2 linked regions of the Arabidopsis thaliana genome follow. The protein of the gene in region 1 purifies or fractionates together with the protein of each later gene. This does not show direct contact. Each region holds a gene or a part of one and is shown in the gene's direction. Other genes may lie near its edges.

The links. Proteins that work in one complex are often made in the same cells at the same time.
Region 2: the proteins of AT3G18190 (region 1) and AT5G23540 fractionate together in Arabidopsis thaliana (co-fractionation; one large-scale study listed by BioGRID). This does not show direct contact.

What each region holds. Positions count from the first base shown.
Region 1 is NC_003074.8:6,228,460-6,236,227, forward strand, and holds AT3G18190 (TCP-1/cpn60 chaperonin family protein), read left to right. Parts: upstream 1-3,648; 5' UTR 3,649-3,766; coding exon 3,767-5,377; 3' UTR 5,378-5,724; downstream 5,725-7,768. Other genes in the region: AT3G18170 (Glycosyltransferase family 61 protein), read left to right, coding at 1-1,088; AT3G18180 (Glycosyltransferase family 61 protein), read left to right, coding at 1,811-1,967, 2,053-2,148, 2,260-3,419; UMAMIT4 (nodulin MtN21 /EamA-like transporter family protein), read right to left, coding at 6,050-6,215, 6,296-6,447, 6,542-6,935, 7,023-7,139, 7,239-7,301, 7,410-7,669. UniProt on the Arabidopsis thaliana protein: Molecular chaperone; assists the folding of proteins upon ATP hydrolysis. Known to play a role, in vitro, in the folding of actin and tubulin.
Region 2 is NC_003076.8:7,934,764-7,941,424, forward strand, and holds AT5G23540 (Mov34/MPN/PAD-1 family protein), read left to right. Parts: upstream 1-2,866; 5' UTR 2,867-3,008; coding exon 3,009-3,138; intron 3,139-3,328; coding exon 3,329-3,506; intron 3,507-3,597; coding exon 3,598-3,679; intron 3,680-3,860; coding exon 3,861-4,037; intron 4,038-4,128; coding exon 4,129-4,296; intron 4,297-4,384; coding exon 4,385-4,576; 3' UTR 4,577-4,841; downstream 4,842-6,661. Other genes in the region: AT5G23535 (KOW domain-containing protein), read left to right, coding at 1,108-1,167, 1,258-1,353, 1,749-1,852, 1,941-2,077, 2,282-2,364; AT5G23550 (Got1/Sft2-like vescicle transport protein family), read right to left, coding at 5,151-5,229, 5,426-5,484, 5,605-5,722, 5,852-5,925, 6,094-6,147, 6,573-6,661. UniProt on the Arabidopsis thaliana protein: Metalloprotease component of the 26S proteasome that specifically cleaves 'Lys-63'-linked polyubiquitin chains. The 26S proteasome is involved in the ATP-dependent degradation of ubiquitinated proteins.

The sequences.
Region 1 (7,768 bases):
ACGGTAAGTCCGCGACTGTTTCTGCTGCGATCACGTTTGCGTTTTCGGGAAATTCCACGTGGCATATAAGACCTTACGCGCGAAAAGGTGACACGGTGGCAATGAAGCGCGTGAGAGAATGGACGGTGAAATTGGAACAAAACGCTGACCAATTAGAAAACGCTAATTTCTCGCGTTGCGTTAGGAATCACAGCGTTCCGGCGATGATTTTCTCTCTCGGAGGCTACTCGATGAACAATTTCCACGATTTCACCGATATAGTGATTCCTCTGTACACGACGGCGCGTCGATTCAACGGAGAAGTACAGTTTCTCGTGACGAACAAGAGTCCATCGTGGATCAACAAATTTAAGGAATTAGTGAGGAAACTCTCTAATTACGAAGTGATTTACATCGACGAAGAAGACGAAACGCATTGTTTCAGCAGCGTCACCGTCGGTCTCACTCGCCACCGTGAGTATTTCAAAGAGTTGACGATCGATCCTTCGAATTCGGAGTATTCAATGTCCGATTTCCGGAGTTTTCTAAGAGACACCTACTCGTTGAGAAACGACGCCGTGGCTACGAGACAGATCCGGCGGCGGAGGCCACGGATTCTGATTTTGGCTAGAGGCAGATCGCGAGCGTTCGTAAACACCGGCGAAATCGCGAGAGCGGCGAGACAGATCGGATTCAAAGTCGTGGTGGCGGAAGCGAACATCGGAATCGCGAAATTCGCGCAAACGGTGAATTCCTGCGACGTGATGCTCGGCGTTCACGGCGCGGGGCTGACGAACATGGTGTTCTTGCCGGAGAACGCGGTGGTGATTCAGGTTCTTCCGATCGGTGGATTCGAGTGGCTTGCGAAAACGGATTTTGAGAAACCTTCGGAGGGAATGAATCTGAGGTACTTGGAGTACAAGATCGCGGTGGAGGAGAGCACGCTGGTGAAGAAGTACGGACGCGACCACGAAATCGTGAGAGATCCATCGGCGGTTGCAAAACACGGGTGGGAAATGTTCAAATCGGTTTATTTGGTACAACAGAACGTGAGTATTGATATAAACCGGTTCAAGCCGGTTCTTGTCAAAGCTCTTGAGTTATTGTAGAGAGCCTAGAGGCAGTCGATGTAAATCATATATTTACCGCATCCATATACTGTAAATTCTTGTAGTTGGAATGTTGGATCGTAATATTGTTATCATAAAACAATTATATTTATCGAAATTTCTGAACTGTCAGTTATTATTCTGATGAGGCTCAATCGACTAACCAGAGTAAACCGATATCGATTAGAAAAAGAATTATGTGGCTTACACTAAATTTTATGTAACTTTTTACAGTTTTTTGGTCAGCTTTAATCTGTTTTGAATAGCTTTTCCCCCATTTAACGGATATTTTTGTCATGCTTTCTTTCCTTCTCTTATTTTGGTTGCAAATTAAATTGCATGTTTTAATGATTTCTGTAATTTTGATATGGAGCTAAATGACTCATCACTAACTCAATATGAAGCAAATAAAGAAAAAACTCCCAAGACTTCTCCTTCTTCCTTAAACTCTACCAATATAAGATCGAACCACTTTGAACATGCTCTAGCTAGTTCTCTTCTTTAAACCAGTACCCTTTATATTCATTCTCAATAACTAAAACGTTATAGTGAAAAAAAAAACACAGATAATATCGTCAAACAAATTCTTAAATACCTCACATAATCCTCTCGCTCTCCCACCTAGCTTGACCTTCATATCTCTACATTAGCCAGTAAACTCTGATTATAGAGTTTCTTGCTGAAGAAGAAAGAAAAGTTTTGTGTAACTTAAGAGTCAAGAGATGACAAAGAAGGATATTCTTTACGATACAGTACTTGCTCGTAGTTTTAGCAAAACTGATCAGAAGAGACTTTGCTGTGGAGCTTTCATTGCCTCTCTTCTCTTGGTCCTCACTCTTTGCACTGTCGTTAAACCTTATCTCAGCCCTTTACCAATCGGTAAGTCTCTTACCACGTTTTGCCGAAAAGCCAGATAACGCAAAAACAATCATTTTAACGTGTATCTCTTTCTTTCTTTCTTCAGTGGAGTTACAGTTATCAGTTGGCACTGGTCTAAGGATGCTGAGTATAACAGAATTAACTACCAACACTACAATCTCCAAAGAAGAAGTTATTTCAGGTCAATATACTTCAGAATTTTCTCTACAATTGTCTTGTTATGGTTTTTAGTCATTTTCTGTATAGTATGATACAGTTTGTTCTTTTGATTTTGTCCTGACTGAATCTTCAGAGTGCAATAAAATGGAGAAACCTATCTGTCACTGTAACACACTAGGAAGCAAAGAGTTTTGCGATGTAAGCGGCGACGTAAGAATCCATGGTAAATCCGCAACTGTTCTTGCGGCGGTCACGTTTGCGTTTTCCGGGAATTCCACGTGGTATATGAGACCTTATGCGAGAAAAGACCAAGTTCCTGCCATGAAACGCGTGAGAGAATGGACGGTGAAATTAGTACAAAACGCTAGTTTATCACGCTGCGTTAGGAATCACAGCGTTCCGGCGATTCTTTTCTCTCTCGGAGGCTTCTCGTTGAACAATTTCCATGATTTCACGGACATCGTGATTCCTCTGTACACGACGGCGCGTAGATTCAGCGGTGAAGTTCAGTTCCTCGTGACGAACAAGAATCTTTTGTGGATCAACAAATTTAAGGAATTAGTGAGGAAACTCTCTAATTACGAAGTGATTTACATCGACGAAGAAGACGAAACGCATTGTTTCAGCAGCGTCATCGTTGGTCTCAATCGCCACCGTGATTATGACAAAGAGCTAACGACTGATCCTTCGAATTCGGAGTATTCAATGTCCGATTTCCGGAAATTCCTCAGAGACACATACTCATTGAGAAACTCCGCCGTGACTACGAGGCGGAAGCCACGGATTCTGATTTTGTCTAGGAGCAGATCGCGAGCGTTTGTGAACGCGGGTGAAATCGCTAGAGCGGCGAGACAAATCGGATTTAAAGTCGTGGTGGCGGAAGCAAACACGGAAATCGCGAGTTTCGCAATAACTGTGAACTCCTGTGACGTGATGCTCGGCGTTCACGGCGCGGGGATGACGAACATGGTGTTCTTACCTGATAACGCGATCGTGATTCAGATTCTTCCGATCGGTGGATTCGAGTGGCTTGCAAAGATGGATTTCGAGTATCCGTCGAAGGGCATGAATCTGAGGTATTTGGAGTACAAGATCACGGCGGAGGAGAGCACACTGGTGAAGCAGTACGGACGCGATCACGAGTTCGTTAGAGATCCATTGGCCGTTGCAAAACGCGGGTGGGGAACTTTCAAGTCGGTTTATTTGGTACAGCAGAACGTTAGCGTTGATATAAACCGGTTCAAGCTGGTTCTTGTCAAAGCTCTTGAGCTATTGCATAATCAGTCAGTGTAAATAAGTAACTTTCAAGCATTCGTGTACTGTAATCTTGGGAACGAAATAATTACCAGATCATTTGGTCTAGTTTAGATTTTTCTCAAATTTGTTTAACCGTCCCCTTAACAAACACTCAAGTCTGAAGTCTGAACCAATAACTGGGCCTTTTGGGCTAACTCATAAAAACTCAAAACAGGCCCATTTATCAAACAATAGCGTATACCCTAGGGCTTTTTTCAAATTCTCTATTCTCTCTTTCATTTCCAGAACACTCTTGTCACACTTCCATTTAGGGTTTTCTGCAAATTTCTCCGTTCGAGATCAATTCCGTCGAGATCTCAAGCTCTCTCACTCGTAGTAAAAAAATGGCGGCGGTAGCGGCACCAATGGCTTCGAAGCCCCGTGGATCTAAAGCTGAATCGTTCGTAGACAACAAGCGGAGAGAAGATATCCGATTCGCGAACATCAACTCTGCTCGAGCAGTCTCTGACGCCGTCCGTACTAGTTTGGGACCGAAAGGAATGGACAAGATGATTTCCACGGCGAACGGAGAGGTAATCATTACTAACGATGGAGCTACGATCCTTAACAAGATGGAGGTTTTGCAGCCAGCGGCGAAGATGTTAGTCGAGCTTTCCAAATCTCAAGATTCAGCCGCCGGAGATGGTACCACAACTGTCGTAGTAATCGCCGGTGCGCTTCTCAAGGAGTGTCAATCGCTTCTCACAAACGGGATCCACCCTACTGTCATTTCAGATTCGCTTCACAAGGCGTGTGGTAAGGCGATCGATATTTTGACTGCCATGGCTGTTCCAGTGGAGCTCACTGATAGAGATTCACTTGTGAAATCTGCGAGCACATCGCTTAACAGTAAGGTTGTTAGTCAGTACTCTACATTGCTTGCTCCTTTAGCTGTAGATGCGGTTCTCTCTGTTATAGATCCGGAAAAGCCTGAGATTGTGGATTTGCGTGATATTAAGATTGTTAAGAAGCTTGGTGGGACTGTGGATGATACACATACTGTGAAAGGTTTGGTTTTTGATAAGAAGGTTAGCCGTGCTGCTGGTGGACCGACTCGTGTGGAGAATGCTAAGATTGCTGTGATTCAGTTCCAGATCTCACCTCCTAAGACTGATATCGAGCAGAGTATTGTTGTCTCTGATTATACTCAGATGGATAGGATCTTGAAAGAAGAGAGGAATTACATATTGGGGATGATTAAGAAGATCAAAGCAACTGGTTGCAATGTGTTGTTGATTCAGAAGAGTATTTTGAGGGATGCAGTGACTGATCTATCTCTTCACTATTTGGCCAAAGCTAAGATTATGGTTATTAAGGATGTTGAGAGAGATGAGATTGAATTTGTCACCAAGACATTGAACTGCTTGCCTATCGCCAATATTGAGCATTTCAGAGCTGAGAAGCTTGGCCATGCTGATCTTGTTGAGGAGGCCTCCCTTGGAGATGGAAAGATTTTGAAGATCACTGGTATCAAGGACATGGGGAGAACTACATCTGTTCTAGTTCGTGGCTCCAACCAGCTTGTTCTAGATGAAGCTGAAAGGAGTTTACATGATGCCTTGTGTGTGGTTAGGTGTCTAGTGAGCAAAAGGTTTTTGATTGCAGGAGGTGGTGCACCAGAGATTGAGCTCTCAAGGCAGCTCGGTGCTTGGGCTAAGGTGCTACATGGGATGGAAGGTTACTGTGTGAAGTCTTTTGCTGAAGCTCTCGAAGTTATTCCTTACACACTAGCCGAGAATGCAGGGTTAAACCCTATCGCCATTGTGACTGAACTCAGGAACAAGCATGCTCAAGGGGAAATCAACGCAGGGATCAATGTGAGGAAAGGACAGATCACTAACATCTTGGAGGAAAATGTTGTTCAGCCTCTGCTTGTGAGTACCAGTGCGATCACTTTAGCAACTGAATGCGTTAGGATGATTTTGAAGATTGATGACATCGTAACTGTGAGGTAGTGTGGTAGTTTCTTTCAAAACAGGTCCCAGAACACTTCTATTGCTCTATCTAAGCTTTTGTTTCGTTTTTTTCATGTGTTGTGCTTGCACAATGGTTTTGAACTTAGACTCCCTTTTCTTGCAACATGTGCTATTGCAGTTAAGTGGCTTTATTTGTGGTTTAGTGCGATTGTATTTCTTTCTAGTGACTTGTGATATCAAGATCTCTCAGTTTTTTTTGTTTCATATGTTGATTTAGTTTTGGTTATGAAAGTCCAAATGGTAGGAGTAGAAACAGAACTTTAATTACTGGGACTCAAATATTTGATGCATGATGGGTCACAAAATCAGTTGCCTATCTGGTTAATCATAGACTGGGTCACAAATGTTATAGATTCGTTGTATGAAAGATTAAGACAGTACACAGTTGCATGAACATGAGTTCTCCAGGTCATTGGTCTGTCTCCAACCAGACCGGATCAGAACATTTGCTTCTCTATTGTCAACTTTGATTTAATGTTACCATCTTTTCATTTTTATTCATAAATAAATTGCAACCCAATTTTGATTACAACTCAAAAGTAAACGACTAGGATATCAATTGTATGAGAGACCCACTTGAGGAGCCTGTGTGTTGGCCAAGTTCTTGTATGTGTATGTACAGAGAAGTAATGCGTTGTGTTTGCAGCACTTTTACACTTCAGATTCAGAATTACTCTTCTTGTGTTGTGCCTCAAGTAGATGTTTGGTCAGTGACTCTGGATCTTGTTGACTCTCTTCAAGAGCCAGTTTTCTTTCTTCGTTTTTGCCCCAAAGAACTAAGTAGAGCCCTAGCATTATAAACACTGCACCAACAATCCTGCAAAGCCAAAAAGATTCTATTAGATCGAGTAATCGAGAGAAACAAAACCCGATACATCCCGTTTTCAATGCGCTTACCCTCCCGAGTATAACTGATCACCAAGAATAAGAAACGCCATCGCAGCAACAAGAAGTGTCTGGAGAGGCTGGAAAACAGCGACAAAAACTGGACCGCTTTTGTAGATACACCATGTTTGAAGATAAACCACCAACCCTGACGCTATTATTCCCTGTAAACACGGCCAAAGGAACATTCATTTAGCTAATTTCCATTGATTCAGATCAAGGAAAAGGAAGAGAGAGAGACAGAGGGAGGGAGCTTACGGCGTATAGGATGGTGAAGAGCTCTTCCCAAGAGACGATGATCCAATTATTTAGATCAGTTTCCACAAAGAGAGCAATAACCAGAAACTGAATCAGACCAAAGAAACATGTGAAGGATGTTAAAGTGAGCTTCGCCGGGTATTGCTTTAGAACAGGAGCTTGAAGAACCATCCAACCAGCCCATGACAGACAATGTCCCATAAGGTATAACCATCCGAGTGTCAAGCTGTGCGAGTTGTCAGATCCGACCACCTCTTCCTTTTGCATGTTAAGGCCCTGGTCAAATATCGGAAATCCTCTGTACAATGTGATCACGGTGGCTCCACCGATGCTCACAAGAGTTCCCAATACTTTTGCCACACCATGTTTCCTGACCAGGTCTATGTGCTCTAGCCTTGATTCATAGAGGAAGATCAATGTTAGACCCAGCCATGAAAATGATTAGAATGGTATTTCTAGGAGGACGAAGTTGCTAGGGTACCTTAAGGCACAAGCCATGATGAAAGTGATGGCAGGAACAGAGTTCTGCATTGCGGAAGCAAAAGTTGGAGTTGCATAGTAAAGTCCTAATAGGTAGAATCCTTGGTTCGCTGTGATGCTGATGTTAAAATACACAAGCAAAGTTTCAGCATTATAATCATTGATTTAAGGATTGAGGAATCGGTTCTTATTATTGTGTTCTCAGGTTAAGCTATACCCTATGAGTGCCAAGAAGAAGAACTGAGCCAGTAAAGAGATTGTAAGTGGAGGTCTTTCTTTTCTGTTGATAAACAAAGCATTGTAAGAGTACTATCAACCAAAGAATACAATATTCAAACTTGAGATCGTACCAAAAAGCCCTAGAGCTCTGAAAGATGTGGAGGCTTACTTTTCGAAGAAGTAAGCGAAGGGACCTATGAGGAGAAGGGCAAGGAGATTCCTATAAACAGGGTACACAACTTTGCTGACACCAATGTTAAGAGCAACTCTTGAGACAATGTGGAAGCCTGCGAAACAAAACTGAAGTGTGATCAATGCCACCACGAGCTTCACCTTCTCTGATACTACTCCTTTCCCCATTTTCTCTTTTTCTTCTTGAGCTCTTCTTTTCCTACTTCTTCTTTTTTTTTTTGAAGTTTGATAGCACATCAGGATTGCTTTTATACTAAAGTGTGTGGTGGTGACTTGTGATTTAATATACAAAACAATAATTATCAATTACACAATAAAGAAAATGGATGATTAAGG
Region 2 (6,661 bases), on another chromosome or scaffold:
TCAACTAATTTTCAATCTCATTCAATTCTTCTCTATGTTAGATTCAACAGTGGTCATGGGTAAATTTGTAAAAACAAACTTTGAATGATTACAGCGGTCCAAACAGACAAAACCGTTTATAGACCGGACCGCTTTTTATTTACCATTCATAAATTATAATCCGTAATAGTACATACTTAAAAAAAATAGAAGACAACCGCATCGGACTAACTGCGGACAGTCTTTAAACTAAGTCCGCATCGGTTTGTTGTCCGACCCAAAAATGGTATGGACTAAACCGCTACGGATTAGTCCGCACTAACTACAACATCCATTCAAAGCAAAAAGCAAAACAAGAACGAATTTACACCATCATGATTTAGATACACGATATAATCCAGGCATATTTAATCCCGTAGTTACCTTCCAAGTTCAAACCATATAAAAATGTGAACTTCTAACACATCGGAATACAAAAAATTTGGTCTCTAATAATACATCAACAGTGCATCTCTAGTAAAGAAAAGAAAACAGAGCATATATCGTCTCATCCCAATTAATTAAAATCGTTAATACCTAATTAGTTAGTGACTTATAATTTTTTTGGCCAAATTGCGAATGCGGTGTCGTTTTAATGTTTGAAGACATGAGAGGTTTTAGGGTTTATCTTTTTTACACTCACAATCAAAATACTGACGACTTCTTCGCCACCGTGGTTAACGCTGCCTGCACCGTCGGCGGAAAACAAAAAAGCTTCAACTCCATTGGTTTCCTCTTCCTCGATCTCTCGATTAATTCTCAGAGGCAAGCTTCTTCTATTAGACCAAACTTGTTTTCGCATCCTAATTGTCAATTTCGGCGATATCATTTCTAATCATCAATTTTCTCCCTTTTCGAATTAGATCGGAATTATGTATAAATTTTTTGGTTGCGTATCTTTGACGTGAAAAAACCCTAATTTAGGTGGCTTTCCGCAGTTGAAAACCCTCGAAATTGGCCCTGCCATTTTCAATTTCTTTGATTTGGATTCTTCATGCTTTCCGTTTCTCGTTGTTTTTTTTGTTAGAAGAAAGACGTGAATTTGTTGTGATGTAATTTTTAGGATTATTCTCAAAGAGAGTAGCAGCTATGGGCTGGAAAGCTGCTGAGAAACTCATCAGACACTGGAAGATACTTCGAGGAGACAATGTGAGTACACCACTCATGTTCTTCTTGTGGTGTTCATTAGTTTGGTTTCATTTTTGATCTGTTGTTTCTGGGGTATGATTTTATGTGCAGGTAATGATAATTCGTGGGAAAGATAAGGGTGAGACTGGAACCATAAAGCGTGTCATTCGATCCCAAAATCGTGTCATCGTTGAAGGGAAGAATCTGGTGAGATAGTCTTGTTCTGGATATCTTTTGTTCGCTCTGTCTCATGCATTTAGAGAATGAATGTACAAGTTCATTTTTTGATTTTTTTGTTCTTGATTTGGTTTGTAGAGTATGAACTAGTACTGAATCAATATCATATCACTAGCTCAACACCAACCATAGAGTTATCAATTTTCATTTGATTCTCATTTTTTTAATCCAAGCATCAAGTAGACGGTTACTAAATCACAAAGCGACTCTAGTTCCATGGATTTCGCTACACAATTCTTTTGAATTGTTTATCTTGAAACTGTTATCGTTTTGGATGTTCTACCTTGCTGCTGGGATAGTCTTTGTCTACTCACTGAAGCTTGTATATGTTTTTCGCTGATGCTTTTTTTTTCCTGTGTTCTCAGATCAAGAAACATATAAAGGGAGGCCCTGATCACGAAGGTGGAATTTTCACTGTAGAGGCTCCTCTTCACGCCTCAAATGTCCAAGTTGTTGATCCTGTCACTGGGTATGATTTCACTCTGCACTACTGTCTCCAATTACTCTTTTGCTCAAGCGAGAGATCACTTATTAATCTATTATCTTTTCTACCACAGGAGGCCTTGTAAGGTTGGTGTAAAATACCTAGAAGATGGAACAAAAGTAAGAGTAGCCAGAGGCACTGGCACATCTGGTTCCATAATTCCCCGACCAGAGATTCTAAAGATAAGGGCAACGCCGCGACCCACAACTGGTACATAGAAGCTCAATATCTCTTTAAACGTTGGATTTTGGAAATATATAGTGGAAGTCTGTTAGCTATCTGAGAAAAAAACATAATCATAGATCGGCTATAAGATAAACATAGAATCAACATAATTCGTTTGCTATCAACATAATCAACAAACTTGATAGTAGCGGTTTTCTTATAGAAGGATTCATACTTTTCTCTTTGCAGCTGGCCCTAAGGACACACCAATGGAGTTTGTCTGGGAGCAGACATATGATGCTAAAACTGGAAAGGGCATGCCTGATCTTTGAGTTGAAACCTCTCTACAGTTTCGTTTGGAAAATGTTGCCTGCTCTCAAAAAGGATTCTTCTTTTTCCCATCCATTAGAGTTTGATTTCGGTCTAGAGCTGTGAGGTTTTGTTGGAGAACCTTTGATCATGACTGAAACGGAGTCGTTTTCCTTTTTTCTTTCATTGATCTTGTGAACTTTCAAGGTGCCAAATAAAATCCGTCTGGAAAACAGTTCAATATTTACATGTTTAGTTATTGTATATACACTAGCCAGAAGTCTAAACATAAAACGAAAACTATAAGCTCTAAGTAAAGTAGATTTATATTATGCAACCGAATTAACAATATTAACACAATGACATGATTTGCATTGTAATGAAATTTAAAATTTTGACAAAAAAAATATGGAAATTCAAATTGGTTATTAACTTTTATTTTTGGGGATGATTTGGAAATTTGGTGAATTATTGGTTACAATAAATAAAAGGAAATATTGAAGGACTTATATGTAATTAGTGTCGCCTAATCGAGTAATTCGATCCATCTTCGTCTGTCTTGTTAACAAAGAAAACTGAGAAAGGTTTTCTTATAAGATCCCATTCTTGTAGCAAAAACCCAGAAGAACAAACTTTCGAAGAAGACGACTAATCAATTCATCTGATTATGGAGAGACTACAGAGAATCTTCGGAGCTGGTGGCGGTTTAGGTCACGCATCGCCTGATTCTCCGACTCTCGATACATCGGAGCAGGTTTACATCTCTTCTCTCGCTCTCCTCAAGATGCTTAAGCACGGTAATCAATCCAAACCCAAGCTCTAATTTAGTCTTCTCTTGCTTAGGGTTTTATGATTTTGTCTCGTTCTCTGTGATTTTACTCTCGTCCTCTTTTGCTCTGGAACTCTAGGGTTTTATTCGATCTGTTTCTGAGATTCAAAATGCGGATTTGAGTAGAGATTTAATGAAAATTGATCGGAATATTGCAGGAAGAGCTGGTGTTCCTATGGAAGTCATGGGATTGATGCTTGGAGAGTTTGTGGATGAATACACTGTTAGGGTTGTGGATGTTTTTGCGATGCCTCAGAGTGGTACTGGTGTTAGTGTTGAAGCTGTTGATCATGTTTTCCAGACTAATATGCTCGACATGCTTAAACAGACCGGAAGGTAACTAGTTCTTCTCTAAACCTATTTACTACGCTTAAGTGAGGTTTCCTATTTAGGTTTTGGATCTGATTCTTCTTGTATCTTGTTTCAGACCTGAGATGGTGGTTGGTTGGTATCATTCACATCCTGGATTCGGCTGCTGGCTTTCTGGGGTTGACATTAATACTCAACAGGTAGAGTTTTGTTTGCTCTGTTTGCATACTTATCAATTTGTGAATTGCACTTGAGAATTTGTTGTTTGCTTTATTGATGGCTCAAAAAACTAAATAGAATGTTACTCATTGTGTTCTATACCCTGTTGTGATTCACTTTGTATTATATATGTTCATTGTGAATATCTGTGTGCTTTTGTAGAGTTTTGAAGCTTTGAATCAGCGAGCTGTAGCAGTGGTGGTAGATCCGATTCAGAGTGTGAAAGGAAAGGTGGTGATTGATGCGTTCCGCTCCATAAATCCACAGACCATTATGCTTGGGCAGGAACCCCGTCAAACAACATCGAACCTTGGGCACTTGAACAAACCATCGATCCAGGTGATTATCACTAACTGAATGTGTCCTGTTTTTAAGTTGAAACGAAATCAAAGGTTTTCTCTGATACTGACTTTTGGATACTACTATGCAGGCTTTGATTCACGGGTTGAACAGACACTATTACTCAATAGCAATCAACTATAGGAAGAACGAGCTTGAGGAGAAGATGTTACTCAACCTCCACAAGAAGAAATGGACAGATGGTCTGACGCTAAGACGCTTTGACACCCACTCCAAGACCAACGAACAGACGGTCCAGGTAAAGAAACACAGGGTTATGTTTTTATCTGTTCAAGCATATTCTACAATCATGTTCATTGACATTTTCATTATCTCCTGTTTAACAGGAGATGTTGAGCTTGGCTGCTAAATATAACAAGGCGGTTCAAGAGGAGGACGAGTTGTCACCAGAGAAGCTGGCAATTGTGAATGTGGGAAGACAAGATGCAAAGAAGCATCTGGAAGAACATGTCTCGAACCTCATGTCATCCAACATTGTTCAGACACTAGGCACTATGCTCGACACTGTTGTCTTCTAGAGAGCTTACTTCTCCAGCCGCTTCAAGTCATTGAGCTTTGTTCTTCTGCATCTCTTTGGCTTCTACTGAATGTTCTCTTTTTATCTGCTAGCTTTTTACAAGGTTGTACTGTACTATGTGATTTCGTTCGTTAAGGGCAGGGATCGATTTCTATTTCTTTGCATATTATTTTCAGATTTTATTTTCCTCCCATTTTTAGATTTTATGCTGCAACTTTCAAGTTAAGTGCTTTTGATAAGAATATGCAATTTCCCTCCTGGATTAAGTCTTTAGCGTAACCATGACAATGAAACTAAAACAAGTGAAGTTAACATCTTAATTTTGTAGCAAACAGCAATAACATCCAAATCTACGTTAAGTTCCACAGCAAATATACAAAAAACTGTGCTAGGATTTGTGAAGACGTGAACTTGATGTAAAGAGGCAATTATAAGCCATAAAGGGCATGGCACGTTACCGGTGCATCAAACAAGTCCTGCTTTGAACACATTTGGAGGAGATTGACCAATCGTTCAGCCAGAGCATCAAGGTTTTGGAACAAGAAATCTTTGACCTGATGTGTGTAAACTGTAGCTTAAAACTCGGTGTCAAAACAAGTCATGAAGATCTTTGAGACCATGGTTCTTGCAAAAGGGATGTAGCTCAAGCTATACCTGCAGTTTTAAAGAACACAAGGGATTCATTCTCCAAGATGAATGTTGACAGCTTTTGTGACAAACTCAGAAACCGTATAAGGAGCATTAGGTCCACTCGGGATAATATACTATTCGAAGAGTATATATCATGTAATTGTATTACTAAGAAAGTTAGGATAAAAATGTAAGAGCTTGAAAGCAAGTTTTAGCATACCAAATTAGACCAGTGAACTCAAGAATGATAGCCAGCAGTGTCAGAAGCTTGTTGCGAACCTGTACAGAAAGATGATGACAGATTATATTTAGTCCAACAAGGCATTTTCACTACCTAGTTTTAACTGAACATAAGCAATGTTGTGCATCCAGTATTTTGAATTGAGAAACCCCACTTACATAAAGAGCACAAAACAAGGCAATGATAATGCTTGCTAGATACAATGCAGTAGCGTAGATACGAGCTGGGTCAAGCATCATAGTCACCTGCCGCTGTGGGCCTATAAGGAATGCTGTGCTGCCATACAAAAGTGACATGAAACTTAAAATCCAGGAACAAAGAGAGAAAAATGGAGAAATACTGTACACACAGAATTGCGACACCAATGCAATATAACAAGAAGCTACACAAAATTCCAATACGAACCTCCCGAGTGCCATCAAATTTCCCAGAGTGAATGTGATGCCAAACTTGACCGGATTAAAGAAAACAAGCATCGACTGCATCGTCAAACAAATAAGAGATAAAGAGTTATATCACCAGTAAAAGAGCTAAGACAACCCAAAGTACAGAAGAAGAATACAGCTAAACCAATCAAATGATTCCTTTCAATGCAGAAATAAGGATAGTGCTTTCTAACATTGCTAAGACTTGAGAGTTATACTTACCAAAAGTGTACAGGTCAAACCTGCTGACAAGCAAATTGCAAAGCCATAAAATCTCTGTTTTCATAAACAAAAAAAACGAGATATTAGCCAAAGACAAACCCAATTCAAGATAATTTAACAGATTCTTGTAAACGAGACAACACTACAGGTTCATAGAGGAGCTAAATCCAAGTAGCGTCCTAATTTTTTGTAGTAGCAAGCCAAAACTTAGTCCTATTAATCAAACTGTTATCATACCACATGGAATTTTATAATCCTTCTCCTCCAAAAAATCATAGAACTGCTAAACACTTATCTCAAAATCTCTTGTATGTTATTGATCACATCATATGCATTCAATAGGAACTCATTTACATTTCTACCTCAGTGAGCTTACGAGCCTAACTTCTCTAATTGGACGAATACCTAGTCCGCATGTGAAATTACAAAAATTACCAAATTCAGAGGACTTGATCGAAGAATCTGGGGAAGTTAAGAACCTGTTTGGTAGTTAAAGCGCAATTGCGATTAAGATCTTCCATGAATGAGAGCGAGCTTTCTTCATCAGCAGCTTGTTGCTCGTCTTCAA